Linked DNA regions of Struthio camelus. The protein of the gene in region 2 binds, or shares a complex with, the protein of the main gene of each other region. Links are inferred from orthologs where the notes say so. Each region holds a gene or a part of one and is shown on either strand. Other genes may lie near its edges.

What was found. Proteins that work in one complex are often made in the same cells at the same time.
Region 1: BICD2 (region 2) and BICDL1 share a complex: the UniProt entries of both Homo sapiens proteins name them as parts of the tripartite complex. The link is inferred for Struthio camelus from reciprocal best matches to the Homo sapiens genes BICD2 and BICDL1.

The regions. Positions count from the first base shown.
Region 1 is NC_090958.1:7,650,764-7,658,455, reverse strand, and holds the start of BICDL1 (BICD family-like cargo adapter 1), read right to left. Parts: upstream 3,032-7,692; coding exon 2,666-3,031; intron 1-2,665. UniProt on the Homo sapiens protein: Acts as an adapter protein linking the dynein motor complex to various cargos and converts dynein from a non-processive to a highly processive motor in the presence of dynactin.
Region 2 is NC_090955.1:17,574,804-17,582,843, reverse strand, and holds the start of BICD2 (protein bicaudal D homolog 2), read right to left. Parts: upstream 3,003-8,040; 5' UTR 2,711-3,002; coding exon 2,471-2,710; intron 1-2,470. UniProt on the Homo sapiens protein: Acts as an adapter protein linking the dynein motor complex to various cargos and converts dynein from a non-processive to a highly processive motor in the presence of dynactin.

The sequences.
Region 1 (7,692 bases), on a different chromosome or scaffold from region 2:
AAATCCCCACCCTGTAGAGCCGGTAAATGGCCGTCGCAAAGGTTGGAGTTGGAGGGAGGCAGAGAGGACCGAGTTTATTCTCTCGTGGTGATGGAGAGAGCAGAAGCACTGGGCGGCCGCGACGCTCTTTCAAAGAGGAGGGAAACCAGCCCGGCCGTGCTGACGGGCTCCCCCCTGCCTCTCCCTCGCGCCCGCCCCAGCGCCTGCCCCGTGGTGCATCCGGGTAGCTTCCCGCGTGTAGCAATGACAGGGCAAACTGCTGCTCTCACCGGGGGGGGGTCGTCGTGTTTTACGGGTGCCTCTCGCTGGTTTTTACGCAGAATTACTTTCTAGAAGGCATTTTCTTCTGCAAGCGGGCTTCCCTTCTGCTTAACTGAGCTGGGTTTGTCCTCGTTTACAGGCAGGAGAGCAAGGGGGAGCTGCGCTGCCGGCAGGGGGGCCGTTCGGTCAACTGCTTGGACAGGGCAAGCTCTGGGGGGTTGGAGAGCAGCGGGGACGCTCACGGTTTTAATCCTCTGGAGCAGATACAACTGCCTCAGCTCACATGTCAGAATGTGGTCAAAGACACCGATTCCATATTTAGTAACGAACGTGAATTCAGGCTCCGAAGGGGAAGATCGGCCGGAGTAAGGTGTGTGTGGTACAAATGCTGCGCTTCGGCAACGCCCCCGCAAAAACGCAACGCATCTGGCCATCGCCAGCTAGCTGAGCCCTGCGTGCGCCGGCACAGGAAACAAACTTGAGGCCAGAGGAAGCAGAGACACGTTTCTAAGCGGCCCGCAGCGGCACCGCTGCAGAAGCCATCCAGAGGCAGAGCAGCAGCAGAGCAGGTCAGCACGCTGGCTCCCGGGAAATGGAGCGGCTGCGCCGAGCTCTCACAAACCCCTTCGAACCGGCAGCCGGGAGAAAAGCTCCCTTCCTACAGGCTGCTTAAACAGCACGAAATCGGGGGCGATTGCCTCCAAGGATCCCATCTGAGGCTTTGTTTTGAGCCGGGCTCCGAGAGCGCTCAGCATCGGCACGTGGGTGGCGGCTGCGGGTCCTTCCTCCCCGCTCCCCCTAAATCGAAAAGCTCATTGGGAAATCTTGTTCACTTCAGTGGCAACAGGAGGAGGCCAGCATTTAATCTGCACAACCTAGGATTACCCGGCTTGTTTTGCAGCAGATTAACATTCAAGGTGTTTTTTTTTTTTTTCTCCTTTTGTGAAATAGCACAGTCTCAGATCTGCCAAACAAAATCTGACTCTAAGCGAGCAGCACTGACTCTAGGCAAGCAGCACTGGCTCCTGCCAGATGAGTAGCCCCAAAAGCAGGAATCTCTTATTCACCTGGAAAGCTGGAGGGTTAGTAATGGGATGAAAAGATGTAAACAAATGGCCCCGTTTATCAAATGCTCTTAAGAAAGGGCCTTCCTGCACCTCGAGGAGCAGGTGAACAGTGTCCGAGTGGGCCCACGGGAGCGGGGTAAACATTTGGGGGATGTTGTTTTATATAAAGTACTATAAAGTCATAGTTGTATCTAAAGAACTAGGAAGTCTCATTTCCATCTTTACATTTTGCAAACACCAAGTAGTATCTGAGAGGCCAGAACAGTCAAATAGGCAGCTTAGACAGTATCTGGGCTTGCACGTTTTCTCCTGTAATGGTAGGACAGGTTCTAGCCCAACTCCTAGGGAAAACCGCAGCAGCACTCCAGCAAATATGTTTGTTCTTGCTATGCTGTTTAAAGAACAAACTGAAAATGTTCTTTCTGGGAAAATTTTAATCTGATGAATAGTGCTGCTAAACAACAATTTGAGCCAATGTCGCCTTCACTGTTGTTTGTACCAGAATAGTAAAAAAGAAGGATTTTTCCTGCAGAGAGGAAGTGGTCAGATAGGGTAAAGGACAGAGTTTAATAACAGAGACAGATATCTCCCCTTAGGAAGAAAAGGCTCCCAGAACAAAGGACTTGCAGTAATTTCACAAATCCTCTTAACTTGCTAGATGTAAGACTTCACGAGGAAGGGACACAGGAATAGGCAGAACTGTGCACGAAGAATTAGTCTAGGGTTGTGACTTGAAATCTGAATGTTAATCCAGCACCGTTCAAGCTCTCTCCAGAAAGGAGCGAGAGGGGCCTGTTCTGTTTTTAAACAGAACTCCTTGCTGGGAGAATTAAAATTTCAAGAGCATCCCTGAGAAAAAGACTGGGGATAGCGGCGATTCGCTCACAGAGGTGTGCAAGAGGTTTCTTGCAAGAGAAGCTGCCGGCACTAGTCTTTATTTGTGACAGCTATATTTCAGGCTTAAAAAAATAAATCAGGGAACAGCTCATGCCGCTGCCTTCCCGGCGAACAGCTCTCTCCAGCTACCTGTGGGCATTTTTCAGAGCCAGCAGCTCCCGCAGCCCGGCCGTTAGGGGTGCCCGCGCCCGGCGCCCCGGTGCTTTGAGCGCAGAGGTGACACACGCTCGCTCGGCAGCGGCTAGGAGCGATCTAACTTGGAGGCGAGGAGCGCGGCCGGGGCCCAGCGGGGCGCTGCGGGCCGGGGGCGGCGGCGGGCCGGGCCGGGCTCCCGGGGGGGGGGGCGCCGGTGCCCGGCCGGCAGCCGCGCGGTGGCGGAGCCGCCCCCGGGCCAGGGGCCGGCGGCGGCGTCTGCGGGAAGGGGGGCGGCGGGGCCTCACCTCCAGCTTGTCGGTGAGCTCCTTGTGCATCCTCTCGTACTGGCGGCTCATGTCCTGGTTGCGCTCCAGCAGCGCCTTGCCCAGCCGCGCCGCCAGCACCAGGTCCTTCTCCTTCTGCCGGATCAGCGAGAGCAGCTCGGGGTCGCGGGCGGCGGCGGCGGGCGGCGGCTCCGGCGGCTCCCCGGCGGCGGCCAGCAGCGCCAGCTCCTCCTCCAGGGCCAGCTCCAGGGCGGCGGCCCCGGCGGCGGCGGCAGCGGCGGCGGCGGCGGCCCCGGCCCCGGCCCCGGGCGGCTCCATGCCGCCGGCGCTGTCCGCCTCCGCCGGTGCTGACCCGGCGGCGGGCAGGCGCGGGCACGGCGCCGCCATGGCCCTGCGCGCCGCCGCCGCCGCCGCCGCCGCCGCCGCTCCGCTGCGCCCCCCGCGCCCGGCCCGCGGCTGCGGCTGCTGGGCGGGGAGCGCCGCCGCCCCCGGCCCCCGCCCCCCGCCGCCGCCGCCGCCGCTCCGCTGCCCCGCGCCCCAGCGCCGCGGCGGAGCCATCGGCGGGGCGGCGGGCGGCTGTGTCCCCCCGCCTGGGAGCGGGGCTGAGCGTGGGAAACGGCACGGGACCGGCCGGGACAGCCCGCGGCGGGGGGAGCGGCGCAGCCCTGCCCGCCGGGCGGCCCCGCCGAGGCCCTTTCCCTTCGGAGCGCGGCGCCCGGGGGTCTCTGCTGCCTGTAGTCCACCCTGGGGCAGGTGACTACAGCTTCCAACAGCCCCTGGGGCTTGCTTTCAATTTCAGATTGCTTGCGGTGTTCCCGGATAAAATTCGCCTTAAAAGCAGCCTCAGTGAATGTCGGGAGCTGTAGTCGATCCTGTTCTTAACGCTTTCCTCGCTGGGAGGAGACTCCACTGGGAACCGGGATTTCCACGTAGCTGAGCTCCCTTGAAATCCTTCAGTTGGTTTTCGGTTTTGTTTTTGTTGATTTCCCTTCCTCCTCCTTAGATCTAGGCCTTGCTTTCCCTGGTGCTGTGGGAAGGGAGGCTGAGGCTGAGTAAAGCAGGGTAAATCTGTACGTTGTCACATGTGCCAAGACTGTTTCCTCAATTTCTCATGGTGCTTTAATTTCAAGTGGTGCTTTAGTAGCGACTGAACAGAAGCGTTGTTAAGGAAACCTGTGCTTTTGACTCCCAGAAACCTGCCGAAAGACGGGAAGAATTTCACACAGTTCTTATCTCACGACCTTGCTTCCACAGGGCTTGTTGTTCTTCCTACAGAGGATTCACTAGGACCGTGTTTGTCTGTACCAAGCTACCTCTATGTATCAGTCCCAAAGACATTTTCAGTTGGGACAAGGGGACAGACGACGCTGTCGGGGCTGGCTCCTACCATCAGACCCAGGGCCCTGGAGAGCGGCTGATTATTCATAACGGTTAGAGCGTGAGTTGTAGGAATGCAAACTTCCCTCTCGCCATCTGCCACTGGGCCTTCGCCTTTCACAGGCGATATGCCCCAAAGGCGTCCAGCTCGCGGGACTTGTCGATACTTGGCCCTTCTCCTGGCAGCGCCAGTTAATGCCGGTGGGACCTTCTGTAGCACGAGCACCTGCTCACCGGAAAGCAGGCGAGATGCGGTACCTCGCTCCATGCTGCCTTCTGCACCCGTCCGATGATGGTGACTGCTGGCTGTTATAACCCCGCTTTCTTTTGCGCCGGTGACCCAGAGGTGACGCGGTCTTTATCTCATAGCAATTCCCCCAGGCACCCAGTTTGCTAGACCTTTTGTCCTTGCAATCAACTGGCGCTGGCATTGTTGGGAAGCGGGACTCGCCATAAGGTGAGGCCATTTGAATGGTATTGCCAGTTTTGAAAGCATCCCTCCGCCCCAATGCAGGAACGGTGCTTTCATAGATTTGATCTTTGCTATTTAAACAGAGGAGGGAGTTTAATATTCAGATTGATTATGAGCACCTTCTGCTGGAAATGTCTACTACAGCAAGCCAAGCCTTCTGGTATGGTTAATGAAATCCATTGTGGCATTAATTCTCATCTCTAATTCATCTTTCAGTGTATAAAACAAAAAGAGATTATACTGAGATGATTTTAATCTCTGAAACAAAGCCTGAAATAAAACTCATAGCTGCAGCTGTTGGGATGGGAAGGGAAAAAAAAGCTATCGCCTGGATGGGGAGAAAAAGCACATGTCACCTGGTTCTGTGTATTACCAATATGCTAACAGCACAGCTGGGTGCCTGCACGTGCTTAACTCTCCTTTGGTGCCTACTCACTGCAAAACATGACGGTGTTATCCAGTGTAACTTTGCATTACAGCTTTGTTCACAGCATGACCTGCTATTAACCTCCGCTTCAAAAAAAATCCATTGTCCTGTGAATTTAATTATCGATTTGGCATTTCAGAAATAGATTGTATTTTTTAAACTCCTTTATGCATTGCTTTACTAGTGTTGCATCTTGTATGTACTATGCCAATGAAATATCCATGAAAAATGGTTATGAATAGAACAGTATGGTTTCTTTATAGTTATATGGTGGCCTTACCATTAGGACTCTAAAATGCACCTCAGCTGAGAGGCGGGACACTTGCTGACTGTGCATGGCACCTGATTCCCATTTCTGCTCCTCTTCCCCCCAGCTGGGCCTGGTTATGTCTTTTGGAGAACCTCAGCCTAGAAAAAAGAAGAACAGGTTAAAGGAAATGGGTCAAAGGCAAAGATTTTTCTTAACTGCAGTACTCAAGTCTGATGTGAGACTTCAATGCTCAGATACTAAGAACTGCAGACAGTGGGTAGTTCTTGTGGAGATGCAGCTCTCAAAGCGTGTGAGGTTCCCGTGTATGCATCGCCCATTATCTTCAGCATGGAGGTCACCATAGGATGACAATAGCACAGACCCTTTTTGGAAATGTGAGGGCAGACTGATTCAACCATGCAGAGAGGTGAGAAAAGTGTCTGATGCCAATGACAACACCACATCACGCGGTGGGTAATCTCTGTGGAATTAGCAGGCGAGGGTGAGAACAAAACGTTGGTCAGATCTGGTGCGAGAGGAGCAAGTCATTCTTTTCTTGCTCAGGTGAAAAACTTGCAGGGCTGCGAAGGAAAAGCAAGCAGCAAAAAGTGAGACTACCCCAGGAGGGGAAATAAGACAGCATTGGCTTTGTTGCTAAATAATTTCCCCGGCTTGCCTTTTCCCCATCTTGCAGTTACCCAGTCCTGTAATTAGACCATGGGGATGATTGGAGAATGGAGTTCAAGGGGCCTTTCAGGGCAAGCTCGTGCAACAGCTCTGTTAAACGGGTTCCTAAAGGAGCAAGGTGTCGAAACAGGCAGTCCAGCCTAAGGTACCGCTACCCTGTGCGTGCTGTGCTCTCGGAGGGGTCAAGGAGAGGCGAGCTCTGAGCTGCACAGGCTCTGGAAGCCCAGGGTCAAGTACCTCCTTAGGATGGAGGCTTTGAAATTGATGTTCTGCCTTCCAGGGATTTTGCAGGTTGCTCTCTTCACAAAGGAAAGGGAGCAGAGGGTCCAGGCCCTTGGCAGTTACAGGAACAGAGAAGTACACAAAACTCTCCGAATTAAGCTGGACAAACCATTTTTCACACATCAGAAGAGCGGCAAATCCAACAAATGCCGAAGTACTTTGGTAGATGCTTCCACCTCAGCTGTAGGAGGGCAACAGTCAGAGATGAAACGCGGCGAGGGAGCATCCTTTTTTGGTTAGAGTAAGGGGAGAAAAAGATGCATTGCAGGGGAGCCACAGCCACGTCTTGTTGCTCTGCACTTTTAGAGCTCTTTGTGGTGAGAGGAATTCCCATCTGCACTCTCAAGCGGCCTTTAAGTCTCCTCCCAGGGGAGATGGCACAAACTGTCAGGTTTCTTTTGCCATTCGCTGGCTCTTTTCCTCTCTTTTTGCATGATGAATTGCTCACTTTTTCTCTTTGCTTTACTGCACTTTATTTCTGACAAACGTTCCAGTTATTTGGGATGTTCGTATGCCCCAGGGCTAAGGTGCGTCAATGTACCACAGCCTCCGCCTGCTGCAAGATGGGCAGCAAGAGGTGCCAGCAGCCTGAGAGAGTTTGCTCAGAGTTTGCAGTTACCCAAATGAATAATTAAACGAAATACGTGTCCTGCTTTCAAAGCAGGTCAGAACTGCAAAGCCAGAGATAAGGCTCTTGTGTGACCTTTATTTCCCTTTGCTTCCTTGATGTCCAAAGCTATGCAGCTGTATGCCTGTGCCCGGGTTTTCCCCAGTGCTGGGCAGAGAAAATACAAGATAGGAAAGTATATCCGTGGAGGCAAGAAAAGGAGAAGAGAATAGAAATTTCTGGTTAAACAGAAGGGAAAAGAAAGCTGGCATGAATGCTAGCCAAGCAACACGTTGCAAAATGAAAGATCATCCTGAGCCTTTGCAAGGCTCAAGTATCCCCGCAGAGCTCCTGGCAAGCTTGTTGTTTCCCCAAGTTATCGGTGCTACGTCATTCAGAGGCGAGAAAGCACTCATCCACACAGCTGACTCATCACATCCGCGCAAGGGGAAAAATCCTGTGGCTGTTAAGGCTATAAAGCCTGGCCTAGGAGACTCAGGACTGCCTAAGGACAGATCTGACACCAGACGGCGCTTACCCTACCGACTGTGTGCGAACAAAGAGGGATGCAAAGGGAGAACAGCAGGATAACAAATTCAACTTGTTAAATGGCCCATGAGAGTATCCCTAGGAGACCTCCATGAGACAGAGATGTAAATCCTTGGTACTGCAGCTTGTAGTCAGTGTTTTAGGTGTGAACTTTGGAAGCATGACATAGCAGTCTCTTCAAACCAGAGGTGAGAGTACTGGGAACAAGCGAAACTGCTGTGGAGCCAGTGAAGTTGCATGTCCAGCCACCAATATTTCAGGTCAGCTTGACTCCTTGGGGTCCTACGCGGCCAGTCTGACGTGGTTGCACTCCTGGCCCTGAGCAGCCCTGCGACAAACATGCTGCTTGGCTCCTAGGGCTCCTTCTGCACTTACCTAGTTCTTCCCAGGAGAAAAA
Region 2 (8,040 bases):
CTCTAGACAAGAACCTGAAGACAAGAACAAAGAAAGATTTAAAAAGATTGGAACTGTTATATTTTAAAAGCCTGTGTGTAATCACAATTAAGAAGCAAGAAAAGGAGAGCATCCCTTTTTGATGCAGATATTCCACCACCAATTCCTTGCCTTCTCCAGGAACATAACTTACACAACCCAAGGTGGAATTCCTTTAAATTGGAGCTTGACATGTGGCAAGTCTTGTGTGTACAACTCTTCTAGCTGTGCCTGGGAAAAGCAAGAAGTTGCATAAACTGCAAAGAAACTCCTCCGAGAACATGCTTCATACATCTTCTAAAGGTTTAGAAGATCTAATGAAGACCAGATTCCTCCATAGCATCACAAGAATGCTAGAGGAGCAATGTTTTCCCCTGTGTAGGCTGAAGAGCAGAGTCCTCAAGCTGTTCCCAGAATTGTCTGCCTCCCAGGTTCTGACTTAATTACTACAGGACATGCACACACAACGCAAATCCTTCAGAATAATAAAAGCAAATAAGAGTGAATCATTGCTGATCCTACCATTTTAATTTTTTTAATCTCTTTTACAGTCATCTGAAAATAAGTTGTGTGTAAGCCTTTTTCCATCTGAAAGATAAAAACATGTAAAGCCCAAGCGCATAAGTACAGCCCAGTGAATAAAGGATTACCCATGACTGAGGTAACTCAGCCTCATTCACGGTTTAGGCACCGGCTTGCTGAGCTAGTTTGGGCCAGTCAATTCACCTTGAAGGGCCCTGTTTCTCCATCCCATCTACTAAATGGGTTTAAAGATTTTTCTTTCCCTTAAGCTTCAACTCTGTGGCTCTCTCCTCCTTTTCAAGATGGCCTCTAACACCTTGAGTGATACTTCTACTGTTGTAATTGAGTCAGTTTCAAGTGGCTTTTGTTACACTGGTACATCAAAAGAAACAGCATTTAGTTAACAAGTTTATAGATATTTAACTCAAAATAGCTAACCTCTTTTGGTTATGCTACTTTAACATAATAAAAGCAAAAAACCCACTCCATTTACAAGTCCAAAAGACACAGAGGATGCAGGAAGTGAGGGGGTTCATAGGGTTAGCTGAAACTTTACAAACCCATTTATGAGTATTTATTTTCACTTTGAAATGGCATATTTTATGAAGCTTCAAATCCATTTCAAACTGACATGCGGTGAACCAAAGACCGATCGGACAGTTTGCACTGGTCAATCAAGTCCACATATAGTCACATCTTAACCTAAATCAGATCTCTCACAGTAAGGCAAGGCCTAGGTCCGCTCAAAAGCGGCACAGGCTTTGCCTGCATAGAAACAGTCACCAGAATAAGCAAGAGCACAAGCAGATGAACAAGTTCCAGCAGGACATACTGCACTGTAAACTGGAAGGGGATCAGCTACTCTGTCATCAAGATAACTAACCACGAGTCTTCATATTCTGGCATGTCAGTGCCACTCTGCGCATGGACTCAGGTTCCTAAGAAAGCTCTTTTCCAATGTCCTAGTCCTGAAGAGGATCTCACATGAGAAAGACTTATGCATCAGTTGATCCAGTAAAACAGCAACTCTTCTGACAAACCTTACACCACTTACAAGTTACCCCAAAATGGGAGGTTTACTTTAAAAAACCATGGAAACGCACTGAAACAAAGCTGTGCCGGCTACCGTTATTTTGGTGACAGTGGTCTGCATCAAGCAAGTCATTAATATCAATGCAAGTCTTCTGCTCTAAATTAGCTCCATAAAAAAGCGATTAGCACTTCCTTTGCTCCGTTCCATCTGAAGAGACATCCTGGCCCCTCACCTGCAACTCCTGCTCCCGTTCCCACACTAGGAGGGGTAGGATAGCAGCACTCAGCAGGCTGAGGCCTGCCAGAGCAGAGCTGCTGACCGCTCCAGTCCCAGCGCATCCTGCTCGCTAGGAGCAAGGGCTGCACTTGTTCGCTCGAGGCAGGCGAGAGGCTCGCTCTCCTTGCGGCCGACCTAGGCTTGACCTGTTTCCATCCTTTTTTGCCTCAGGACCTCTTAAGAGAAAGAGGAGCGTTTCACCACTTCCCTCCCTCGGGGAGGGAAGGGGGGCTAGAGGCAGCGAAGCCTTCCCCCCCGCCCCATTAGCCTTCAGGTCTCAAGGTAAAACGCAATTACCTTTTAAATGTCTCATTCTGGAGCGGGAAGGGTTTCACCGAGGCCTTCCGACTCTGGCGGGGGGGCTCACGGCACTCTCCGATAAGGCAGCAGCAGCAGGAGGACCCGCGGGAGGGCCGGGCCGGGCCCCCTCCGCCTGCCAGCCCCCGGGGTGGTGGGGGGGGGAGGTTCGCCAGGGCAACGCTCGCTCAGGCGCCCTCCCCGCACACGAGCGGCGCCCAGCGCTGCGCAAAGCCGGCCGCGCGGCCGGCAGGCAGTTAACCGCCGCGGCAGCCCGAGCCCCGCAACGCGCCGCTCCCTCCTCGCCTTCGCCCCCCCCCTCACCTCCTTCAGCTGCTCCATCTCGGTGCGGATGGTCTCGTACTCCACCTCCAGCTCCTCGTACTGCTGCTTCAGCTGCTGCTTCTCCTCCAGCACCGCCAGCCCGTACTCCGCCGCCTGGATCTTCTCCCGGGTGGTCTCGCCCAGCTCCTGGAAGAGCCGCTTGATCTCGCCCCGCAGCCACTCGGGCTCCGACTCCATCACCAGCTTGGCGTACTCCTCCTCCTCCATGGCCAGCGACATGTCGGCGGCGGCGGCCGCCGGCGGCTCGCTCCAGCCGGGGCACCGCGGGCGGGCGGGCAGGAAAGGCGAACGCTGAGCCGGGCTCCCGCTTTTAAAACCGCCGCAGCCCGCCGGCGGCCATGGCGCGCCCTCCGCCAGCTGCGCCCGCTCGGGCTGCCATGAAACGGCGACCTGAGCCGAAGCGAGGCGCCCGGCTGCGCCGCCAGCCCCCCGCTGCCAAACCCGCCGCCAGCCCCGACCGCAGTGAAATCATTCAAAAGGAACGGCCGCCCGCCCGCCCCGCGGCATTGTGGGGCGTGTAGTCCGCGCGCCAGCGCCGCCCCGCCGGGCACCCCGCCCGCCGGACTACAACTCCCACAATGCCCGGCGGGGGGGGGGAGGAAGGGGTGCGGCGCGGGCGGGGGAGAGCGGCCCCTGCCGGGCGCGGCGGGCACCGCCCGTGGGGCGCCTGCGGCGGCCGTTGAACGGCCCGAGAGCGGGGCGGCTTTGGTAATTAACTGACTGCGCGACCCCGCTGCGCTCATCGCGCCGTGCTGCCTCTGCCGTCTGCGGGGTCCTCGCTTGCAGTCTGGGACGGGAAAGAGCTGTAAACGTGAACGCGTGCGGGCGCGCTTCGGCCTCAGTGCGGCCTGCCCGGCTGCCCCCTCGCTGAGCGCTTCCTCCTGGCACCGCGCAGGCCTCGGCCCACGCAGCGGCCTCGGCCCGCGGTGCCGCCCGGCGCGGGGGACGCCCCAGGCCTGGGAAGGGGAGGCCGAGCGGCTCCGTCAGGCGGCCGGCCGCTGCGCTCACCGGCCTGGTTAAGATCGTGTAAAGAGCGATAGGGCGCGGGCACAAGGGTGAAAACTCTTAAAAATAAGAGCGCCAACATTTAGATCGGTTACGGAAAACCAAGCAAAAGGAGAGTTCTCAACGGGCACGTGGTGAGGTGTCGTGTTGCCTCTGAGCCCCTGATCCAGGAAAGCATCTAAAGCACATTCATAACTGTAATCACATGAGGAGTCGCACTGAATCAATCTGTTCAAAGTTAGGCACGTACTTAAATGTTTTGCTGGATTGAGGTCGACAAGAACATGCCCTGTAAGAGTGATAACTGAGAACAGGTCTGGAAGGGGCTCGAGTCTGTGAGCAGTAGGACTAGAATATAAGCAATAAGGCATATAAGTAAGAAAAAAAATGTCAGGACTACACCTGTACAGCATCTTAACTGCATTGAATGTATTTGATAAATATATTTTAAAGTTCTGTGAACGGTTAGCAGTTAAGGGTTATTTCACAATTGCCGTAACAGCTACGTTGCTGTGAACACAGCCTAAAGAATTCCAAGGGCTAAATAGAATCTTTAAGGGCCTGATACATCAGCCACAGTATCAAAAATTAAACCTAATTCAGCACAAGCAAGACTGTAGCAAAAAAAAGAAACCACACACACAATGCATACTTAGGTGGTTTCTAGCTCCTTGCTAATGAGACTTCTAGGATGACTGGAGGTCAGAAGGCTTCTGAAACAGTTGAATATAAAAAGAGTGCTACTTCGCAGAAGAGCTCTAATAGCAGTAGTGTGTGGGGACAGACTCACGTATACAGAGGGGTGCTTCCCATTTGCTAGAATGGAGAGAGCGATAGGTCACACCAACATGGAAAGAATGAAATCGTTAACATTAAAAGTATTGTGTTTTAGCCCCAGTGTGATTGAAATCTGCACATGGGAACTCTGAATATCTGGTTTGTTTCCAGCGTTTCAAATCTCCAACACAGTGGCTCCATCAAGCAGTTCTCCATCTATTAATGTGGTGCAGAAGAACTGTCTTTCCCAGCATCATCTCGAGGATAAGCACATTCTCAGCACAAAAATGCTCATTTACCACAGAACAGGCCTGACAGAAGTGTTGAAGAGAAACATTGCAGCAAGTTCGACTGGCATAAATAAATGTGAGACAATAATATCCAAGCAATCTTTACCACACTGCTTGAAAAAGGAGTTGTTAATTGGTAGGAAAATGTTGCTGTTGCTATTTGTTCCACCATTGTGAAGGTATGATAGCAAACACAGAGTAAGCAGGCACAGGAATTAGGATAATGACTTCTTCACCATGCTAGAATTAATTTCCAAAACATACTAAGGGCTGAAGAGAGCTAAATGCTTCTCTTAAACCATTGTAAGTCATAAGCAGCTCCATTAAAGTCAGTGTGAACATGATCCTGCTTTACACCAGTGCAGTGGTGATGACTGCTTGACCCTCTCTGTCTGCACAAGAACTTGTCTAACTTGCTGCTTCATCCTCTTTTAGTGCAGCAAATAAAAGTTAGAATTTCTTCCAGTGTCAGAAACAATGGTAATGAACTGTAAGCAGATGCCAAACATAATAAAAGCAATTACATGTTTGAGCACCCCATGAGCTCTAGAACATAAAGCACCATCTTGGCTTATAGCTGCAGGGTCTTTTCAAGCTTCTTTCAACTTCCGTCTGCGTTCATCATGCTCTATCTCAATACATATAAAAACATATCCCTTTGGTAAACTGTTTAATGTCTGAATTCTGTCTCTTAGTCACAAAACTGCCTTGACCAATTTTTGTCAGGGCTCTGGCGCTGCCTGGAGCTCCATGCGCCTCACGTGCAGGGACACGTTTTTCCCTTGAGCACTGGCATGACGCTCAAACAGTGGTCTGAATCTAAGAAGTAACAATTAGATGTGCTCAGCCCATGGCATGCACATGAAATTCCTTTAGCTTTTTGTTTTCAAAATTCCTCAAGAAAGATCTTTGTTAATGGCAAATGCATATCTAGCTGGCCTGAGGCAGGAAATGCTCATATACCCTCCCTATAACAAATATCTCAGCGTTGTTACATTGCTGGGCTTTTTATTTTTCCTCTAAAGTCATGTCGACTCCAAGTGCCAATGCTCATTTGAGATCCGTACCTGTTACTTTTAGGCACTACCTGGGCCTGCCTGTGATCTTACATCATTTTCAGCTGGTGCAAAACTCACTTGCCTTCATTAAATTTGTACCATACAGCTGCAACTGCTTGGCCCACTGATTGTTAAAAACCCAGACCATCCTATTTCATATGAAATTCTGCATTCACTTCCCCCCTGCTTCTTACTAGGAGAGCTGGTAACCCAGCAGCAGCTCGGGTTTCCACCAGCAGGACAGTAGTTCTGGCTCGCACTGGCACAGCGATGATCTGAGGGAGGAGATGGCCTGTTGGCAGGGCACATGCCACCTAAACTGCCATGCCAGCTTTCCCCTTTACTGTCCAACTTCCACCAGAAACCTGAGACTTCAACTGTTTTTTTTTTTTTTAAAGGAACGTGCTGCATTGGCAAATTCTAGTATTATACCCCAAAGGGATCCATTAAAATCCAAGTAGTTATTTCATAATGAATTTTGCAGGTTTGGACTTAGATGCAAAGGGGTGCCTCTGACAGTGCCCTCAGTGGGAGAAGGTGCATCCAATGAGGAACTAAAGTAAAAAGATAGACAGAGAGGGCCAAAAGGTGAGGTGTCGGAAGCGGAGGTGTGTTGTGCCTCAGCCCCTAACCCTGCCCCAGCCAAGGTGTCGGAGGCGACCTCCCGGTTATGGGCCTCCTCGGGCTCAGGCTGCGTTCAAAACCCTGCCTCAGCCATGGATTGCTCAGGAATTGCCAACATCAAAGTGGCAGGAGAGAGAACTCTCCGTTTTCAGATGAAATTGATACGAACACCAAGGTTATGTTATTTCCATAAAACACGATTCTCATGTAAAAGATTCTCCGCTCTCTTGCAATGGATTTATGCTGCCCTAATACAATGGCTGTCACTGAGTGAACGAGAACGTTTTAGGGGATTTATATGCAGTATGATTCCTTTTAAAACTCAAGTCAGGAAAATAAAAATACTGTTTATGAGATTCCCCCCCCTGCTATGTTTTAATTATTAATATTTCTTCTCAAATTAGTTGTATTTTCTAGTTTTCTTTCTTTCCCCTTATCAGTAGCATTGCTAATCCCAAGCATTCGCAACTGGTGAATCAGAAAGTTATTTTTAATAATAAATACTGGATTGTTTTCATTTGCCTCTTACTTTCTGAGCCTTCATTGGGCTGAGGTTTTTCTCTGTAAGTCTGGACTAGAAAAAAATTATCTAACTTTCTGTGCTGCTTCTTTTTAGAAATTAAAATCTTCACTTAATGACTTGCCCTCAGGATGTGGGGCTTCCATACCCATCCTGAATTAGTTAGGCATATGAGTAAATTGTGAGAAGTGATCAGTATTTTAGATGATTAATAGAGCTGAGCTAATCAACTTATCATACTTAAAATTGCTTCACCTGATAATTATTTTTATTCTAGGTAGTTCTTAAAACCAAGATTCATTGCTAGTTTTCATACCGTGTGATTTTGCTCAAGCGCCTTGCCCAAGATGCAAAGGAAAACGTCCAGCAGCATTTGCGAATATAGCAATAGCTATTTCAAAAGCATTTCTGGGCAATTTTGGAAAACTGGAGCGTCTTGTCAAAGCTAAGGTTCCCATGAGCGTTTGAGATAACGGTGTTACCATAGTAAAGGCTTGTCATGACTGCATGAGTGCAGCCTGGCCTGTACCCATAGCCTCCTCCTGTGCACGACCAGAGGACCACTGCCCATTTCAGGCACTGTTCACTCTCGGTCTTCTTTTCTGTTGAAATTTTGAAGCTAATCACTGAGCACGGGACGGTAGAATTACTCAGGAATCGACTTGGCTACTAAAATAAAATTGGAGACTGTTTCTTCTTGGTGGAATTAATCCATATGATCTGGCCTGATGCAAAAAACCACAGTGAAGGCAAAGCCCTACAATACCAATTATTTAACCTGAGTCCAAACCTAAAAGCACATAGGCGCTCTAATTCAACACTGCAAGATGTTTAGGGAACTAACAGACATGGTCAACTTTGACCAAGCTGTATTTTGGGGGTAATCCCTGCTGAATGAATGTGGAAAGCCAATCTAACCTGTGCCTAAAACAGATGACCTGCAGACATGAGAATCATTAAAACAAACTTATATCTGACTTTAGATTAGTTCAAATGTACCAAAACAAGGTCAGGCAGCACATCACTCACCTTTTATACGCTATATTTGTACAAAGCTCAGGAATAGCAAATCTCAGGAAAAGGAAAAAAAACAGCCATCTTTAGACTGGCCCTGAAACAGTCATAGCAAACTGGGGCAAGCAGCGCCCTGTGCATGCATGCTCTCACAGCCGTGTCACTCATGCCCTCCCTGATCAGGGCAATTCATATTCTGCGCTCAGACATGTGCGTATGGTCCACTGCAAATTCAGGATTACGCTTATTCATACGGAGCAG